4 linked regions of the Saccharomyces cerevisiae S288C genome follow. The gene in region 1 interacts genetically with each later gene. Each region holds a gene or a part of one and is shown in the gene's direction. Other genes may lie near its edges.

What was found.
Region 2: mutations in PTC3 (region 1) and OAF3 together harm fitness more than expected from each alone (negative genetic interaction), as found in Saccharomyces cerevisiae (one large-scale study listed by BioGRID).
Region 3: mutations in PTC3 (region 1) and VTC5 together harm fitness more than expected from each alone (negative genetic interaction), as found in Saccharomyces cerevisiae (one large-scale study listed by BioGRID).
Region 4: mutations in PTC3 (region 1) and YKR041W together harm fitness more than expected from each alone (negative genetic interaction), as found in Saccharomyces cerevisiae (one large-scale study listed by BioGRID).

Annotation. Positions count from the first base shown.
Region 1 is NC_001134.8:111,447-116,490, forward strand, and holds PTC3 (type 2C protein phosphatase PTC3), read left to right. Parts: upstream 1-2,315; coding exon 2,316-3,722; downstream 3,723-5,044. Other genes in the region: protein phosphatase regulator SHP1, read left to right, coding at 1-1,262; PTH2 (aminoacyl-tRNA hydrolase), read right to left, coding at 1,355-1,981; YBL055C (3'-5'-exodeoxyribonuclease), read right to left, coding at 4,127-5,044.
Region 2 is NC_001143.9:559,874-566,161, forward strand, and holds OAF3 (Oaf3p), read left to right. Parts: upstream 1-2,673; coding exon 2,674-5,265; downstream 5,266-6,288. Other genes in the region: transcription factor TFIIE subunit TFA2, read left to right, coding at 1-779; rRNA-processing protein LAS1, read right to left, coding at 916-2,424; PAM17 (Pam17p), read right to left, coding at 5,426-6,019; CCP1 (cytochrome-c peroxidase), read right to left, coding at 6,240-6,288. UniProt on the Saccharomyces cerevisiae protein: Transcriptional inhibitor with a significantly increased number of target genes in response to oleate.
Region 3 is NC_001136.10:620,574-626,641, forward strand, and holds VTC5 (Vtc5p), read left to right. Parts: upstream 1-1,538; coding exon 1,539-4,148; downstream 4,149-6,068. Other genes in the region: ILT1 (Ilt1p), read right to left, coding at 4,493-5,425. UniProt on the Saccharomyces cerevisiae protein: Regulatory subunit of the vacuolar transporter chaperone (VTC) complex.
Region 4 is NC_001143.9:516,305-519,450, forward strand, and holds YKR041W (uncharacterized protein), read left to right. Parts: upstream 1-1,893; coding exon 1,894-2,646; downstream 2,647-3,146. Other genes in the region: amino acid permease GAP1, read left to right, coding at 1-567.

The DNA of each region.
Region 1 (5,044 bases):
TACCTGATGAAACCATCCAGCAGTTCATGGCATTGACCAATGTGTCGCATAACATAGCCGTTCAATATCTCTCTGAATTTGGAGATTTAAATGAAGCACTAAATTCCTATTATGCTTCTCAAACGGATGACCAAAAGGATAGAAGAGAGGAAGCACATTGGAACAGACAGCAGGAGAAGGCCCTCAAGCAAGAAGCCTTCTCCACCAACTCTTCGAATAAAGCCATAAATACGGAGCACGTTGGTGGGTTATGTCCAAAACCAGGATCCTCACAAGGTAGCAACGAGTACTTGAAAAGGAAAGGTTCTACCTCTCCTGAACCAACCAAGGGTAGTAGCCGCTCTGGAAGTGGTAACAACTCCAGGTTTATGAGCTTTTCGGATATGGTAAGAGGTCAAGCTGATGATGACGATGAAGATCAACCGAGAAATACTTTTGCTGGTGGTGAAACATCCGGCTTAGAGGTTACAGATCCTTCAGATCCTAATTCATTACTGAAGGATTTGCTGGAAAAAGCGAGAAGGGGTGGTCAAATGGGCGCTGAAAACGGATTCCGTGATGACGAAGACCATGAAATGGGTGCCAATAGGTTTACTGGAAGAGGTTTTAGATTAGGGTCAACCATCGACGCAGCAGATGAAGTCGTAGAAGACAACACTTCACAATCACAACGTAGACCAGAAAAAGTCACAAGAGAAATTACATTTTGGAAGGAAGGTTTTCAAGTGGCCGATGGTCCGCTTTATCGCTATGATGATCCTGCGAACAGTTTCTATTTGAGCGAGTTAAATCAAGGGAGGGCTCCATTAAAGCTCTTAGATGTGCAATTTGGACAAGAAGTTGAAGTTAATGTATATAAAAAATTAGATGAGTCTTATAAAGCTCCGACGAGAAAACTGGGCGGTTTTTCAGGCCAGGGCCAAAGACTAGGATCTCCTATCCCGGGTGAATCGTCACCTGCGGAGGTTCCAAAGAATGAGACACCCGCTGCTCAGGAACAACCCATGCCGGACAATGAGCCAAAACAAGGCGACACCTCCATCCAAATTAGATACGCAAATGGCAAAAGAGAAGTTTTGCACTGCAATTCCACAGATACAGTAAAGTTTTTGTATGAGCATGTGACATCAAATGCGAACACTGACCCATCGAGGAATTTCACCTTGAATTATGCCTTTCCTATCAAACCAATAAGCAACGATGAGACAACATTGAAGGACGCTGATCTGCTGAACTCCGTTGTCGTGCAAAGATGGGCATGAGCATAAATATACAAAAACAGAAACGGGAAAAGACTTCAACTTAATATATAAATGCACGTATATCTATACCCGTAGTATATATCATTTGTACCTCAATACAATTTCAAATCACCTGTTATTTGATCCAATACTGCTTTTGGAGCAGGTCCTAAACCCAATACGGTGGCACTTCCCGCAGCAATCTGTGTTCTACCAGCATCATGAATAACTGCTGCATTCACCCCAAGTGATATAGCCTTCGCATACAACTCGTCCATTGTAAACTTATCTGGACATTTCAACGTTATTTTAGCCTGTCCAGCATTTAGCCATCTTTGTGTCATAATTGGGTTGTATGAAGCACGCGCGGGGTTTGTAGCAATATGTCTAAAACATGACAATGCTGCGTGACAGCATTGTGCCGCTATTTTGCCCTTTGTCATGCCAAGATCTTGACGAATCACCAATGCCATCCTAACTTCTCCAGGTATATCATTCAATGAAGTGGACTCAATATCTTCGTCCTCATCGCTCTCATCTTCGCTTTCACTTTCCTCCTCATCAGTGTCATTGTGTAGCTTTCCTTCCTTCATTTCTTTAGAACGCAGTAAAGTAGCTGAGGATTTCTTAGTTGATGATGCGTTCGACGTACCCAACTGGTAACCCACGGCAAAGGAGATTGCGGTGAAAGTAGCCCATAAAGCTATGGTGTAATTCGAAGAAACTGTCATCTTTTCCATTAAAAAGACGTTATCATGTTACTCCGCTGTCAACAAGTAATATAGCAAGAAACAATTAGCTCTTATGCTTAAGAGCTTCTAGAAGAGTAGTAATAACCTTTAAACATTATTTTCGTCAGGCGTGATATCAGCGAGTTGAAGAAAAAACAACATGGGTTGTCCCTCAAGAGAATAAACTCAAAGGAGTAAAAGGTGTTTAGAGCTTGTTGGCTCGATTGTTGCCACCGGAAGGCCCCTTTCTGTTTTTAGACTATATTCATTTTACTTTTTGAAGTTTCTATTATAGGCAGACGAAGAAGGCCAAGAAGACAAATCGAAGAAAGAGAGAGATAACATGGGTCAAATATTGTCCAATCCAATTATCGACAAAGAGCATCATTCTGGTACGGACTGTTTGACAGCGTTTGGACTATGTGCCATGCAAGGCTGGCGTATGTCCATGGAAGATGCCCATATTGTTGAGCCGAACCTTTTGGCTGAGTCTGACGAGGAACATCTCGCATTTTATGGTATATTTGACGGTCATGGTGGTTCTTCTGTAGCGGAGTTTTGTGGCTCTAAAATGATATCTATACTGAAAAAACAGGAGAGCTTCAAGAGCGGTATGTTAGAGCAGTGCTTAATAGATACCTTTTTAGCTACAGATGTTGAGTTGTTGAAAGATGAAAAATTAAAAGATGACCATAGTGGTTGTACAGCAACTGTGATATTGGTATCTCAATTGAAAAAGCTACTAATTTGCGCCAATTCCGGTGATAGTAGAACAGTTCTATCTACTGGTGGTAATAGTAAAGCAATGTCATTTGATCATAAGCCCACATTGTTAAGTGAAAAATCTCGTATTGTAGCTGCTGATGGTTTTGTTGAGATGGACCGTGTTAATGGAAATTTAGCGTTATCAAGAGCCATAGGTGATTTTGAATTCAAATCTAACACAAAATTGGGACCTCATGAGCAAGTCGTTACATGTGTTCCTGATATCATTTGTCACAATTTGAATTATGATGAGGATGAATTTGTTATTTTAGCATGTGATGGTATTTGGGATTGTTTAACTTCTCAAGAGTGTGTTGACTTGGTTCACTACGGTATAAGTCAAGGTAATATGACGTTGAGCGACATTTCATCTAGAATCGTAGATGTTTGTTGTTCACCCACAACTGAAGGCTCAGGAATTGGCTGTGATAATATGAGTATTTCCATTGTTGCTTTACTAAAGGAAAATGAATCTGAGTCACAATGGTTTGAGCGTATGAGATCAAAAAATTACAATATCCAAACGTCTTTTGTCCAAAGAAGGAAAAGTATTTTTGATTTCCATGATTTTTCGGATGATGATAACGAAGTGTTCGCAATAACCACCAAAAAATTACAAGACCGCTTGAATCGTAGTAAAGATAATGACGACATGGAAATTGATGATCTTGATACCGAATTAGGCAGCAGTGCTACTCCCTCAAAGTTATCAGGTGAGGATAGAACTGGCCCTATTGACTTGTTTTCGTTGGAGGCTCTATTAGAAGCCGGGATTCAAATAAGGCAGAGGCCCAGCTCCGACAGTGACGGCAACACTTCTTATTTCCATGGTGCTTCTTTATCAGATATGTTGGCATCTTTAAGCAATGCGGCTGCAGGAGAAACAGAACCTAATGATGCTGATGATAACGATGATAACGACGGCGAAGAAAACGGCAAGAATGAAAATGCGAAGAAGGGTTCCAAGATTGAAGAAATTGAATAATAAATATTGTCGAACCGTACTTTGCAACGAAAGAGTAGTCAAACTTTGTTATCTTTATTTGTTATTCCTCTTCTGCCGATGGATTGTTTTTTACTGGATCATCTTTGCGGCCCATATTGAGGAGATGGTGAAATTCATAAAAATCATTACGAGAGAATGATAAATTGTAACAGAATTTATAAATCCTATTCATATAGATACATCTGTTTTTCCTTACTCTGTTTTTATTTTGTTGGTAACCTTTGAATCCTTTTTGATGAAAAAAATAGAAAAAAAAAAAAAAAAAAAATGAAAGCAATATCGACTGTATGTATATGCGCACCATAATTTTCCTATTAATAGTTTAAGCATAATTAGTGTACTTACTAAAAATAATGTAACTTTGCTCTTTGCACCAATAGATGTTACTCTCCAAATATCTTACAGGTCGTCTTCCACGTGGTATCTATCAAAGTAGCCAGATCCACGTCCTTGACTTCCGATACGACAATTGCTACTTGTTCCATATTACAAGGCTCATTACGGCCCTTGACCATGTAAAGTTCTTCTGCATTCAACTTGTCAGCGAGCTTATTTTTCTTAACGGACTTGAATGCAGGGTATTCGAAATCCCTAACCTCCTGGTATTTGGCTAAGTACTGGAAAGATGCATGCGTTCTTTTAATCTCACACCACGGAGCATCTGTCTCTAATAACAACCTTTCTGTTGGTATTTGCTTTACAACAGCTAGATTTTCCTCGGTTCTCAACGAGCAACCGTTTACTCCTATGAAGATGTTGGGTGATAAGTTCAGTAATTTCTGCAAATCTATCGCAGAACCAGTGAATGAATGGACCACTAGTTTTCTATCTGGATGAAATTTGTAAAACCCGCTAGACGACGATGCACCTAACTTTTGTAGCTGAAAGGTATCCCTCTCATCAGTGAACCCGGCAATAAATCTTTCCAATATTTGAACAAAATCGTCACATGCGCTTCTCATATGCAGAAACAATGGATAGCTGCTGAGTTTATCGTTCAAACAACTTATTTTCAGTTGCTCTTCAAAAAAAACCTTTTGCATCTCTTTAGAACTATAGTGAAATCTGTCGTAGTCCAACCCGATCTCACCAATTGACCTGAAACTTGTATCATGAGGTTTTGCTTGCTGATTCATCAAATCATAAAGCTCTTTCAGTTTACCCTGTGCAAAAGATGGATTACTAATAACTTTAGCATATAGAGACTCATTATATGCTTCATCCATGGAAGGGTTATCAATAGAAGCGCTAGCCTTGTCCCCTTGACTAGCATCCGCAAACTCGTTAACGCAACATGGGTG
Region 2 (6,288 bases), on another chromosome or scaffold:
ATATCAAGAAAGAAGCTGGGAGCAATAGCTCTAATGCTATTTCATTAGATGACGACGATGACGACGAAGATTTTGGTAGCTCTCCTTCAAAAAAAGTAAGGCCTGGCTCTATTGCTGCAGCCGCTTTACAAGCAAATCAAACAGATATTTCCAAGAGTCACGATTCTTCAAAGTTGCTTTGGGCGACTGAATACATTCAAAAGAAAGGTAAGCCCGTTTTGGTGAATGAGTTATTGGACTACTTGTCAATGAAAAAAGATGACAAGGTTATTGAGCTTTTAAAAAAATTAGATAGAATAGAGTTTGACCCCAAGAAGGGGACTTTCAAATACCTTTCCACCTACGATGTCCATTCCCCTTCGGAACTGCTGAAGTTGTTACGTTCACAAGTAACATTCAAAGGTATTTCCTGCAAAGACTTGAAAGACGGTTGGCCACAATGCGATGAAACGATTAACCAACTGGAGGAAGACAGCAAAATTTTGGTGTTAAGAACTAAAAAGGATAAAACTCCAAGATACGTTTGGTATAACAGCGGTGGTAACTTGAAATGTATTGACGAGGAGTTTGTTAAAATGTGGGAAAATGTGCAATTACCGCAATTTGCAGAATTGCCAAGAAAGCTGCAAGATTTAGGTCTAAAGCCTGCTAGTGTCGATCCTGCTACTATCAAAAGACAAACAAAGAGAGTTGAAGTTAAAAAGAAGAGACAAAGAAAGGGTAAGATTACTAACACTCATATGACCGGTATCTTGAAAGATTATTCCCATAGAGTATGAGGTTGTTTTGATTAAATCATTTTCGTTTGCATATTAGGTTAAAGAGACTGTGATTATATATACATGCACGTTAGGGTGCAGCATACAACTCAGCTTTATAGTCTACAACGTATTTATAACGAGCATTGGAAACAGGTTACAGGACACCAAAGGGTTTGGGTTTCCAATTTTGAACCCTTGACCAATTTTTTACTGGTGTAGCTCTGTTCTCCTCTTGTTTATTTTTTTTACCTACTGTTCCGAAACTGCTCATTCTCTGTTTCAAAGACGCCAAATCGCCTAGTATATCATTGGTATCAGCCTTTAATGCCGGACTCACTTCCTTCTTCAATGGAACGGAATCTTTTTCCGCAGGAATAAAATCATACAGCTTTATTTCACCTTCATTAAACCTTAATGATAAATTGTCTATGTTTTCCTTCAGTTTTGCCTCGATTTCCACTGTGCTATCAATTTGTTTTCTCCGTTTTTTGTTTCTCCATGAGTTACCAGTAATTTTTTCAGTCTCTAGTTTGGCCAGCATAGATTGGCAAAAATACAATATCAAGTATGACGCATTTTCATCAATAAGTTTCTCCCAATTTTGCCATTTATTTTTAAAATTTTTATTGTTAAGGTTATTTATAATAACATCTAACAGCCTTTTTTGTAGTTCTTTCCAGGCATTGAATTTCCTTTTTAAAATTGTCGTTATATTACTATCATCTTGTTGGGTTCTGTAATTCCTAGCTACCCACTCAATGACCTTCCAATCAAAATTGTTCAAATTAAGCATTAAAACTTTGAGTAAAAGTGGGTCATAATTGTTAAAAAATTTCTCAAGAACCACATTGTGATAAATGGATAATTTCCAAAGTTCTTGCCATTGACGCAAATTTTCCCTGATCATAGTTTCTGATGAACTTGCGTGTGAACTTTTCCTCTTTTCGGCATCATAGTTCACCAAATTATCCCCAGAAAAGTTACTACTTGTAATTAAACTATCGTTTGCATTCTCCCACACCCATTTGTATTCCAGAAACTCGTTTCTAAGTCGCTTCCATTTATCAAGTGTTTTAGTTAATGACTCCATATATTTCTCCAGTTTATCATTTCTTCTGTATCCGTAACCGGTATCATCATCATCGTCATCATCATCCCTGTCATCTTCTAATTCCTCATCGTTCCAGTAGTGATCATATAGCCAAGATAACGCTTCATTGGCGGCCCAACGAAGCATTTCTAATCCAGGTAAATCTCTCTCATGTGTACCCCAGTGTCTCAAATCAACAAACCAGGACGGCAGTCCAATTTTAGCAGCTAATGTGTGTAAGGGAATAGCGAACTGAGATTGTTGCGTTGGATCCAATAAGCCATTGACAAACCGAATCAAAGCCATTACATACGATAACCGGATAGGAATAGAATCCTGATGTACTCCTAAACACGCTTCCTTTTCGTCTAGCAATACCGCACATGTTATTTGTGCTGTAGAGTCCACCACGTGAGGTAAATATTGGGAACCCTTTAGTCGGTAGCTCTGTACTCTTTGCACTGCACGCTGTCGCTTATCTTCAATGGTTCCTTTGCTTTTCGGGTAAAACCAAAGTTTCAGCTCCTCTAGTTCAGCAAAATCCCTCCATGGAACGATTCGTGGTGGTATCATTAGATTGCCCTTTTTTCATTGCTTTCTAGAAATGACTTTTGTTTAAGCTAATTTAGGCATTCTTAGGTATTTTTTTCACTCTTTCTGCGACTGCGATGAGCTTATTAATCTTTCACATTCGGGTAATTTTTTGCATAACAATAAGTCATGAATTTATTGTTGCGATTTTGCAGTGTTATGAGTCTATGAAGAGAAGAAAGAAACTAGAAACCAATTGATACCAGACTTTAGTTGACAACTGATCTCATAATGGGATATGACTCCCAAGTTAGGACAAAAAAACGACATCGAATTACTGTAGTATGCACAAATTGCAAAAAAAGGAAAAGTAAGTGCGATCGAACGAAACCATGTGGAACATGTGTACGACTGGGAGATGTGGACAGCTGTGTCTATCTCACCGATAGCTCTGGACAACCTGAAAGCAGTCCTTCATTGAATGATGCTGACCCTCTGAGGAAACAATCAACTCCTGCGGAACGAATAAGTCCAGGTTTCATTAAGAAAAGAAGATCGTCACAGACAAGACAAGACGAAGATCACTGGCAAAGAGTACGAGAACTTGAAAATCAATCATCACTTTATTATCTACCAATTCATGAAGAAACTCCATTTTTTATTGACCTCATCCCTAATGGGTTTTATTTAGAGACCAAAAGGTCTGCTGATAATTTATTTGGTCTGTTCACGGATAGAGCAATTGAAAATCGCGACCCCTATCTCCAAGCAATGGTAACATTTAGAAGTATCGCAATCAAAAAAATGATGGATAAATTGGGAAGCAACGGCAATAATGTGAAAAATGGAAGCTTGCCTAAATCTTTCGAAGCTTTATCCACTTTCGATGCTGATGACGAACGCCACATTAGCGATGATGTTGTTGGTAAGGGCAATAACTTCCGCATGCATCAGACTATTCACAAATCATTGTTTAACAAATTCGCTCAATACAGAGAAAATAATGCTAAAAAATTCAGCTCAGAAACTATATTAGCAAAGGATTATTTGCCTCCTTTAAAAATACTTGAAAGTGAGGTTTTAGCACTTTTTGAAGAAAAAATTTACAATATGATACCGATTTTCGATATGAAAGTTTTGCGTCATGAAATAACGATATTTTATCAAAATATAGTCGAGAAAGGGAATCCAATTTCTATAAAACACTACGATCATATGGTTTTCTGCATAATCTTGTTGATTATTAAAATATGCCGACTTTCTGTCCAGTTTTCGAAGCTAACTCCATATATATACCCGGTTCTTCAAGAAATTGATACCTCTAAGTTTTTGGCTCTTGTTAAACACTATTTGTTCGAGACGAAGGTCCTCAGAAAATGTAATTTATTACAGTTGCAATGTCTCATATTACTAAGGTTCTTGCACTGGTGTGCCCCTGAAGATGGCGATGGACCCGAAACTCAATATTGTCAAATCTTAATGGGGACAATAATATCATCATGTAAAGAAATGGGCATTAACTGGTATTGCTTCTCTCATCCAGAAAAATATTCATTTAAAATAAACCGACATACGAGGCCTTCATACGATATAATGAAACCTAGCGATTACATTTCAGTTTTCAGAAAGATATGGAGTTATGTTTTATTTTGGGACAGGAAGATGTGTTTTATTAGCGGTGAAGAATGTCAAATTGGGAAAACCTTGCAGTGCCATTTCAAAGAAGAAGCAGATACACCCACATGGTATATACGAATGTTAACCCTGGATAACTTGATGAAAAAGATAAACGATACGTTGAACGATGATCCAGGAAAGGTAGATTTGAACTTGTTGCACCGACTAATAAATGATTTAAAAAGAAACTTTCATATTTTAAAAAGCCTGTCGAAAAACGAAAAAGAAACAATGCGTCATTTTGATTTCGAAATGGAATGGATAATAGATTTATTCTCACTAAGTTTGCTGCACGGAGAAATGATCTTTTATGAATATGACTGCAATATTACAAAATTTTATAAGAGTTTCCAAGATTTGTGGGATATGGTCATTCATATCTCAGAGAAGTGCTACAATTACTTTTTTAACAGTGATGCCTTAGAGGTGGATTCATTGACAAAGTTTTATACCAATAGAATCGTGGAAATTGTCGCAAACAAAGTTTTGGTCATTGTTCCGGCATTCATTCTCAGAGGAGACCGCTTCAAAACAATTCAGTACGCCGACAAGAAGAAAATGATAGAATTTCTTTACGGGGTCTCGTCTGTGTATTTTAACGAATTTGGCTTTGAGTACTATCGTTGTTTTAGAAAAATGTTCACCGCTAAAATTGCCTACAAGATCTTGAATCGCTCATGTGAAAAAGATGCATGGAGAATTATTTTAAAATTTTTGCTGAATGAATTGAAACTAGAAGATAACGGTGATAGTTATATAGATTACAACGATATGAGATTAAATGACATCTGTCCAATAATACTAGAATTTCAGGAGACAGTACAAAAATATGATGGGTATAGGCCAGATATTCTAAGTATATGGAACAATGAGTTTTATCCCATAGGTAAATACAACGATGATATGACAGGATTTAAGTTTCAAATGCGCATAAAGGAAATGCAAGAATTCTTGGATATGGAGAAATATTCCGACAGGTTTAATATTTTTTCATCCTTTTATGATCACGCCAGTTCACAATTAGCTAAACATACTGAAGTTGATACCAACATAAGCATTACGAATGAACAAGTAGCTGAAATTCCGCAAAAAGAACTACTACAACAACCTTTAGCACCCGCTTTGCCTGTTAATGATTTAATTGTCTCAGAGTTTGACGTGATTGAAGATATTTTTGATCCTGTGGATTTCGTATCATTTTTTTAAAGTCAGAGATAAAAGAGACGTATAGGACATATACAATATTCATACCTTTCACTTCCTCCCTATTTCATTCGAATTATTTAGTAGCGTTATATATCGCACTACTTTATTCATATATGTATATATACAGAGTCTGAGAAGAAGGAAAAGATCACACGTTCAATCACAAAAATTCTTTGGCTTTCTTTGCGTAAGCGTGACAATCTCTTAACCATTGCTTATATTCCTTTAAGGAACCTATCTTTTCACCGTAATAATCTGGAACAGGATTACTGAAACTTTGAGAAGAGGCATCGACCCTGTTATTGATGATATGTTTTAGAAACTCTTTATTTTTGTTGTTGAACTGTGCCAATTGTTGGTTATGGGAAAGTTTGAAAACTTGCGAACCAACTATCGGACCCAACAAGTAGCCTAGTGCACCAGAGGCTATTATCCCAGCTGAAATTACAGTTAATGGGTCGAATCCGAATAGCATTTGAGTCGGGTCTATTTCCATTGTGGAAAGGTAAGCCCATGAAACGTTACAGCCCAAAAGAGCAGTAAACAGCGAAGAACCAACATTGATTCTACGCTGCTGTTTCCTCAATTTGAAAAAATCAGACCATGTCAAGATACTGGAGTCTTGAAGGGATGCGGGCTGAGAATATGATCTTAAGGGTAAGGTTGTAGCAGTCGAGCGCAATGCCGCAGCGGTGACAGAAGGTTGACTAGCGAACAGTCTTTGCGATGACAATCTAATGGCACTGGTAAACATTTTGAAGAGGCGGACAATGTTTTCTGAATGTTTTTAACACTTCTTTGAACATAGTTTCCCTTATGATATACCATTGTATGGCTTTCCATTTTTCATAGACGTACCGTACAAACGTATTAGATGATATTCAGAAAAAAGCATAAGCCTAAATAATAATAAATATAATAAATAGATAAATAATACGAAATATAACCAATAAATAATATCTTTCCTCAGTGACCTATAAACCTTGTTCCTCTAAAGTCTTGAAAATAAATGGACTGGGCGCG
Region 3 (6,068 bases), on another chromosome or scaffold:
CATTTCTTTTTGGTCATCTCCTTGCAGAGCATTTGATAATATAGTAGTAATAATGAATTGTAGTCGATAAATGTTAGTTGATTCTCATTCCTATCGTATCGATAAGGAAACCTGAGAAATACCAAGGTTCAACGATAATGGCAAACATGCTTCATTAATCGGTATTCTTGATCAAATACTTCCTTGCCTGCCATACGGCATCCCTTAATCGCAAAATAGTAATATTCTTTCCAACTATATAACCGTTATTTTAACACACATTTCTCAAGAGACCCCTTTCTAGAAATGGCATGGAGTGGCAAGTATCTTCAAGCTATTTTTTAGTTGTTCATGTACTCCATAGAGTGACGGTTCTTGCAATTTCAACTAGTTTCAAGATAGTCATAAAAATTTGCAACCGAGCCCATTACTATATATATATATATACAAAAAATTTTAACATTAAACCTTGAGCTCGGGTTTTATCTCATACCAAGTATTATCAACCTTTGGCCGGTGTGTTCCTAATATGGTATCGATTTTCAAGTATACCGTGTAACATTTGGTTTTTGAATTATCCAGGGGTATTGCAAGGAATATCGTGGATCCTGCCATATGAAGGCGTGGATCTTAATTTATTCACCTTTACTGATCGTACCAAACGAAGTAAGCGTAGAAAGCTAACCAATTTCCTCTTGTTACAGAGAGAAAACTTTTCTTGTACAGTAAACTGAATATGCTACGTCGTAGACTTACAATGACGCCGCACTTAGGGATAGTAGTTACCTTGCTCACTTTACTGTCGTGATCATTACACCCGTACGTAATCGATGATCATTGCAGGAGAGGGGCACTTTGGTCTGACATCACTTTTTTTACCTAATCAAATAGATTGGCTTTTATTTGACAGATAAGGTTTATGATCTCTTTTTTCGAATGGAAAGTTCCATGCAGGCACCCTTTATCTCATTGTATTTAAACTACATATAGAATGGATGGAAACGTGGCAAGTCATATCAGGACGCTTTGAAGACTGATAATTAAAAACATTAAACAAGTTTCCAGATATCAGGAAGCGACCAAGCCAATATTCAGAACTTTCGTTTCGAAAAACACAGTAATATATTATTCTCAAAAATTACCACACTTTTTTTAGGCAAGGCTGCAAAATAATACCAGAAAAGCAGAGGCGGTTCTTAACTTCTGTGTAAATTCAGTGCAGGAGGACGGGTGTTGTGTTATTAACTTGCAAGGAAAAGAAAGTTTGTGTCTCCCCTTGTTCTACGCTAGCGAAATGGGTGTGTGGAAGAGTCAAAACTGAACCAAGAAAAAAAAAAAAAAAAAAACAAAACAGATAAAAAGATAAACAAAGGCAAGATCAAAAAGCCCTATCGTGAACGCTATCAAAGGACTTTTAAAATTCATAAATTAATAGTTCGTCCGTTGCCCTCTTGAATATAATAGAGATAGAGTTTAATACTTGCTTTTTACCTTTGCTTTTTTTTTGTATATCTCCATCTCAGCCCTAGGTAAGGATAGATACGAAGGGTTGTACAATCATGAAATTTGAAGATCGCATATTGAATAAATCAATCCCTGAATGGAAATTCTACAATATTAACTATGAGAAGTTAAAAGTAGCCATAAAAAAAGTAACGGCTTATGATTATGACAATCCAAATGATTCGGGCATGGAGAAGTTGTTGAATCAATGTTCAGTAGCCTTTGACCAGGAATTTCAAAATGTTAATTTATTTGTTTCTTTGAAAATAAAGGAAATTTCCACTCGTATTCTTTCTGTGGAATCATCAATAATCGATTTTTCAAAGGGCTTAAACAAAACTTCCAGAAACCGTTTCAACCTTCGTAAACTGAAAATCATCAACGCTCATGTAGACGATTGTAACTTTGAACTACAACTACTGTCAAGGTTTTTGATAATACAAAGGATTGCCTTGAGAAAGTTATTCAAAAAATTACTAAATGAATTTCCTCAAGACAGTGAAAATCCATTGACTGCAAGTGAGTATGTTACGTCGATCAGAAACTCTGAAAGTTTACGAAATGGACACGAAGGCATATCATTTATGAAGCTTGATTTAGATCCATATCTTTTAGAAGTTTCGCTAATTGTTGATGTTTTACATGATTTGGAAAATAAACTTGAAGATGCAACTGAGCCAGCAGTGGAGCAAAGATCCCTAAACCGCTCCGATGAATCTGCCCATACAAGTTCAAGTCCAGAAGCCAACAATTCTTCCTTGCCAGCATCTCCAAGGTCAATTCCGCTACTTTCAAACAAGAAAACTTCAAAAATGATTGATTCTTCGCTAGAATTCGATACTGCCCTCATAGATAAAGCAGAGAATCTAGGAAGGTTTTTATTATCGTCCGAGGACATAGAGGGACTGAAGTTCATGCTATTGAATATTGGTTTTAGGATAATTGACGATAGCATCATATCCACTTCAAAGGAGATTTTAGACACTACAGATAATATTAATTCTGCGGGCAACAAATCTATAAGATCAGCAAAGTCATTCAATGACTTACAACATACCTTATCCCTATCTAAACAGAAGAACATATTACCCTCTGCTGTACAATCCAATGAGAAGTACGTTTCTATTAGTATACTAGATACTGTCGGGAACGAAGGCAGTCCTTTACTACTTACTGATGATAATATAAATCAGCACCCAAACATGATAGTCAGCTCTACTGCTGAGGATACTTGTATAGTAATGTGCCACGTGGGCGGCTTAAGAAATCATGTTGTCACAAATGATCTGCTTCTAAGGGATGTAAAGAATATTCTTTCGGCCATGAGGAGTGGCAACGACACAAAAAATATTAGCGCTCTCATAAACTCACTGGATCCATCGCCAATCAGTAAGATCGCTTTGGAGTGGATTCAGTCCCATCGATTAAAAACCATTGAACCAAAGCTAGATTTTAAAAGAACAAGATTCATATCAGCAGACAATGGAGATATATACTTGATAGCTTTGGATGAATCTATCACTATTGGAAATGTATCTACATTACCCTTTCCAATTTTAGAAATTAAAAAGCTTAGTCGATCCAGTGGTCTTTCACAGACGGCTATTAATGAAGACAATAAGTTTAAACAGTTAATGAAATCAGTTGTTACAAATGAGTTTCAATGCAGCTTAATACCACCAGACTTAACCACATGGAAAATATGTTTAGAATTAGTACACTCAAATGAATTGCAAAATGATTTATTTCAACTTTTACTAAGAGATCAATATAAATTAAATTCCGATGATTCGCTATCACCTGATGAATTTTTCCAGCTGGGCAAGGATCGTCTAGAGGAAGAGTTTGACCTGACTGGGCCGATAAACAACTCACAAGGTAGTGTTGACAGCGGCAGAAGAGTTCGAATTCACAAAAAATCAAAGCAATCGGATAATGAAACTAAAAAGAAACCTATTAGGTATTGGAATGAATTTGATGAACAAGAAGAGGATAATTTAGACAATGCTTTTTACATTGATACTAATGGAAGCAGGAGTACAACAGATAACGAAGAATCCTTACTTTTGAGAAATTCTCCGCCTGATTATGGGTTTATTTTGTTTAGCCGGAATTTCATCAACCGCACATATGATTTTTGTGAGAAGTTACGAAACTTGATTCGCCATGACAAGAAAACATCGCCAGATTTGTTTCAAAACTCTAAGCATCCGCATTGTTCATCAACTAACTATGGTTCTGTTGCGTCATTTGGTTCACAATCAACTTCAGCGTCATATGATGACGTTCAAAGGTACTTACAGTATCAACAGCAAGACATAGAGGACTCACAATCTATCTACGAATATAGGCATGACGAAGTTGTTACATTTTTATACTTGTCTGCACTGCTAACATCTTGCATTATGGCAAGTGTATGTCTGGGAATCGTTTTATCCTTGTTTCGCGGGCAAAGTAATAATGAGATAGATTTAGAAATTCAAAATATTCTCATAGCCATTATTATCATTTCCTTACTGGTTTCCCTTATTTTGATCTGTGCGTGCCTGTTGTTGTTATTTAGTCGGTTCACTTTGGCGCCAATCTGGCATTATGTTGGTTGCTTCACAATGTTTTTCTCAGTTACTGGAACAGTGTGCTATGGTATGATTGAAATTTTCTTTTAATTATTTTGGACGATAAAAGTTTTTCATGTGTACAGTCTATATAAAATATGCATATCATGTGGTTACATAAGAAGAATGTTAATCTTGTTTGGAGATTTTGTTTTTGGAAACTTCGCCATTGCGAAGGGTGTTGCAAACTGAATTTCTGTTTAAGTTTTTAATTAATAATCCTTATTTTGATCTTTTCTGATGGCCGTGTTTGAACGCATAGTATTGTGAATATAAGCGAAGTGAAAACCTTTACACCTGCGGCAGATGCCATATTACTGCGCTAGTGGTGAATATTATTAAGCGTGCTATCAAAAAGAGATGAAAACGTGCTAACTAAAAAGGACTCAGATTCGTTACACACTTAGCCTCGAATAACGATCAGGATCTGTTCTAACCACAACTCCATGGACAGCATGCAATGTTTGGGCTCTTGATAACGTCCCCCCATCAGTACTATCGTATATATTAAAATCGTCTGCAAAGCTCGAAGCATCGTCGGGGATTGAACAGTTATCCAGGTTATAGTTAGTAACATTTCGGTCACTCTTGCTAATATCTTGTTCGATTTTTTCATCGGGTTCTTCCTTTTGAGCTTGGCCACTTTCTTCGTCAAAAGTATTGCCTTTAGCTAGGAATCTAAACCTACACCACCATATGAAATGAGACGCGAAAATTCCTAACTCCATTCCAGCAACTATTGAGTATAATATAATACCCATAATATCCATATTACCTAGGATAACACTGATGATAGATAGCCAAGCACCTAATGAATCGATGAATAAGAAGGCAAAGTTGATGCCAATAACACGACCTTTCCTTTTGGCTAGTTCAAAGTAAGGTGGAAGCAGTCCGACAGCTAACAAAACAGATGCAGAAATACCAAAAATCAGATCGGGCCATTTAACACCCTTCTCGTAAAGGGGCCTCAGCCATAATATAAAGCCAACTTCCATGCCAACATCAGCCGCAATAATAGCAGCTACAATCATTACTATTTTGGATCTCGCCATACTGATTGGTGGATAATAACACGATTGGACGAAACTTATAGAACAGAAGAACATAAAAAGGTGTGGTTGAACTTGTAAAATGACATTACCTTTACTAACACAGAAATATATGGCAAATGGAATTCCGGAAACAACCCAGAGGAACATCATCAGTGGTGGCAGCCCCGTACAGTCCTTTTTTTTCCAATTATATATTATTTGCGGAATTAGCTGGACACACCAGCAAACTGTTGCTATAGTAGCTAAAGCGGTAGCAGCCTTTTCAGAGATCATGAATACCTTATTCTTAAATCTATGTTATGTTATAGTATTCCACAGTTTATATTTCAGCGGTTAATTTGAAAATAGAGATCAGCGGAAAGTAGAAGGCACCAGAAGGAAAGCATTATTTATATGAGTTTCGTTTGGTACGAGAAGTGTGATACAGAGGTAATCTACCTATCTAGTCATTGAAAAATGCTATCAAGAAACGGCGTTCTCATATTACCCGAAGCACCTTATCTGGCGCTCACACCGCGGAAATAATTGGGTGATATTTTAGACAAACGGACTTTAATGTCATGCTAAGATAAACGTTCAGTAATGCAGCAAATGCTTATCATGACGACTCGTTTACAAGGTAAATTCGATTACGAAGAAGGTGCGGACAAAATAACGATTAATTAAAATACAATAGGTATATAAAATAAATAGAGAATAAATATAGTGTAGTTGCTTTACAGAAAAATGAAATAAACTGGAGTACGGATCACCGAAGAGGAGGTTGTTCACTTTCAGGTTATGATGTAATGAAGGTGGGAAGTTAGAAATGTATTAGTTGGCGTATATCTAGAAATAAACAACCCGATGCTTGGGAAGGAACTCAATGTAATATAATACTCATTTTGTTTTGCAAAAACATTATAACTCTTAATTA
Region 4 (3,146 bases), on another chromosome or scaffold:
TCCTACGTTGACCGTAAGGGTAGACCATTGGTGGGAATTGCTGTCACATCTGCATTCGGTCTTATTGCGTTTGTTGCCGCCTCCAAAAAGGAAGGTGAAGTTTTCAACTGGTTACTAGCCTTGTCTGGGTTGTCATCTCTATTCACATGGGGTGGTATCTGTATTTGTCACATTCGTTTCAGAAAGGCATTGGCCGCCCAAGGAAGAGGCTTGGATGAATTGTCTTTCAAGTCTCCTACCGGTGTTTGGGGTTCCTACTGGGGGTTATTTATGGTTATTATTATGTTCATTGCCCAATTCTACGTTGCTGTATTCCCCGTGGGAGATTCTCCAAGTGCGGAAGGTTTCTTCGAAGCTTATCTATCCTTCCCACTTGTTATGGTTATGTACATCGGACACAAGATCTATAAGAGGAATTGGAAGCTTTTCATCCCAGCAGAAAAGATGGACATTGATACGGGTAGAAGAGAAGTCGATTTAGATTTGTTGAAACAAGAAATTGCAGAAGAAAAGGCAATTATGGCCACAAAGCCAAGATGGTATAGAATCTGGAATTTCTGGTGTTAATGAATCGAACAACGACAAAAAAAGACTTTATTTTTTAGATAATCATAATAAATATATTTATTTTCTCGTCATTAATCTAAAGAAAAAAGGGAAATGTTTATAGTCAAAAATTGTATATTTCCGTGCACTAATAAGATAAATTATACTATGAAAGAAAGTAAGGTATTTCTATTTTTTTACTTTTTGTTATTTTATTTATGTTTTTCTAGGAAATGTAAAAATAAATCTTTTAGTAGACAGCGAGATGAAAACTAATCTGTGTGAGCTTCAATCAATCAATATGATTTCCCCGCATTTTGTTTGATATTTTAATTGATTCCGATTAAATCCGCTGGTAGCAGTTTTGTTTCAAACTAATTCAGCCTCCTTACTCCCCATTTCCTTATTGAACTTTGGGGATTCGGAGTTCCTTTTTTTTTCCGCCACTCCGATAACTAAACTTTGCAGTTTCACTGCTTGTTAAACATTTTCCTACTATAAATGACATTTAAAACGTAATTGAGACAAAAAAAGTTAAATCGTTATTAACTTTCACTGCGGCTCCGCTCTTTTCCTCATAAGGAAATCCCCTCTTATGATCTTGAGAAATGGGGGAATGTTGAGATAATTGTTGGGATTCCATTGTTGATAAAGGCTATAATATTAGGTATACAGAATATACTAGAAGTTCTCCTCAAGGATATAGGAATCCTCAAAATGGAATCTATATTTCTACATACTAATATTACGATTATTCCTCATTCCGTTTTATATGTTTCATTATCCTATTACATTATCAATCCTTGCACTTCAGCTTCCTCTAACTTCGATGACAGCTTCTCATAACTTATGTCATCATCTTAACACCGTATATGATAATATATTGATAATATAACTATTAGTTGATAGACGATAGTGGATTTTTATTCCAACAGATCTTGATATAAGCCCTGTCATTGATTGCAAATGCACAAATTCCGGAGATTGAACAGCCAACACAAAGATAGTATTTGGGACTTAGCGGGTTGAGAACGGTAATTATATCATGAATACTCCACTCCAAGCTTGTTTGATACATCACATTCTTGTAAAAATATATGATCCAATTCCTAGGACATCAGAAAATATATCTACTATGGGCGTGTGGCGTAGTCGGTAGCGCGCTCCCTTAGCATGGGAGAGGTCTCCGGTTCGATTCCGGACTCGTCCATTTTAAAATTTCTTTTTTTTTTTTTCTCTTTCCGTATGTAAGCTTTTTTCCTTTTTTTTTTTTTTTTTTTTTTTTTTTTCTTCACTACTTTTCAATGAAACTCTCTTCAAAAGACAGCATGCAGTAAAAGCGCCGATATGAGTGACGACGATTATATGAACAGCGATGACGACAACGACGCCGAAAAAAGATACGTAAGGCCAATTTTCGTCAGAAAGCGCAGGAGAGAAGAAGACTACGTTGCAACTAGCAAAGACAACATCCACCACCACCCATGCGATTGGTCCGCGAAACCATCGCAACGTCAAAACGAAAATGAGCAAAAAAGCACCATACGGCTTGTACCAGTGGCGATGAATACGCCGAAGTGTCAAGAGAAAAAAAAGAAAAGAAAGGGCGTTGGTACAACTAGTCATGAGGCTACGCTTTTCGAGTACGGTGAAAGCATAGCAGGCTACAAGTGTGTTACAACCGAGAGCGAAAGAGACCGCTTGAAACGAAGTCATGAAAGCGAAAGCAGCAGTGAAAGCGAGGTAGACGTTTTCGCCTTTGACCAGGCAAAAGGTATCAGCTCTAAGGTTGAAGCCGAAGAACGCTACGCGCGGGCCGTTCGACAGTATTGGCGCATGACCAAAGACGAGCCGGCTACCTTACCACTGCCAGGCACACCTACCCTAGCGGCTGTGAGTTTAGATATGATTGATGACAAAAGCGTAGAACAATTTTACACAATGAGCAGTGCCTTGATGGATGCAAACAGACTAGACTTGATTCGCCGCGATAGAATCCGGTGGCACCCGGACAAACATCGTTATCATAAGTCCAAAGTCACAAAACTGTTTCAGGCCATTAACGGCCTGTGGGAGCAAGAAAAGACCGAGAAAAGGTAATGAAAAAGTGGAACTAGACCCCACGTCAGCGGGCCTAGGCCCTTCAATGTGTTAGAATACACAGCGTGCCTAGTTCCTGGTGCCTGGATCTCGAGGCCGCGGCACTGGAAAAGCCCTTTCTTTTCCAGATCGGGAAACCTAATGAGTCCATAAAAAGAAATGTAGAGGTGGTGTTGACGTTTTGCCGCTTTTGGGCAAGTAGGTCTTTCTGCACGGCCCGGCCCGGGTCGTGCGGAAAAAGAAAAAAGCAGACAAAACAAAATTTTTCCTTTTTTTCGCCTTTGTTTCTCCTGATTCGGGTATATAAGTGAATACCATCTAATGTGTTTCCTTCTCGAGACCTCGGCGTCTCCCAGATCAAAGCTCAGCAAAGATTTTAAACCGCAATTTACGCTCCTTTCATCGGTAACTAAGAAGAAAAAAAAAAAAGTACGACCACACAATTTCCAGTGTATTCATTCCTTAAACTTCGTTTATTTTTTATTCATTCATTCATTTTT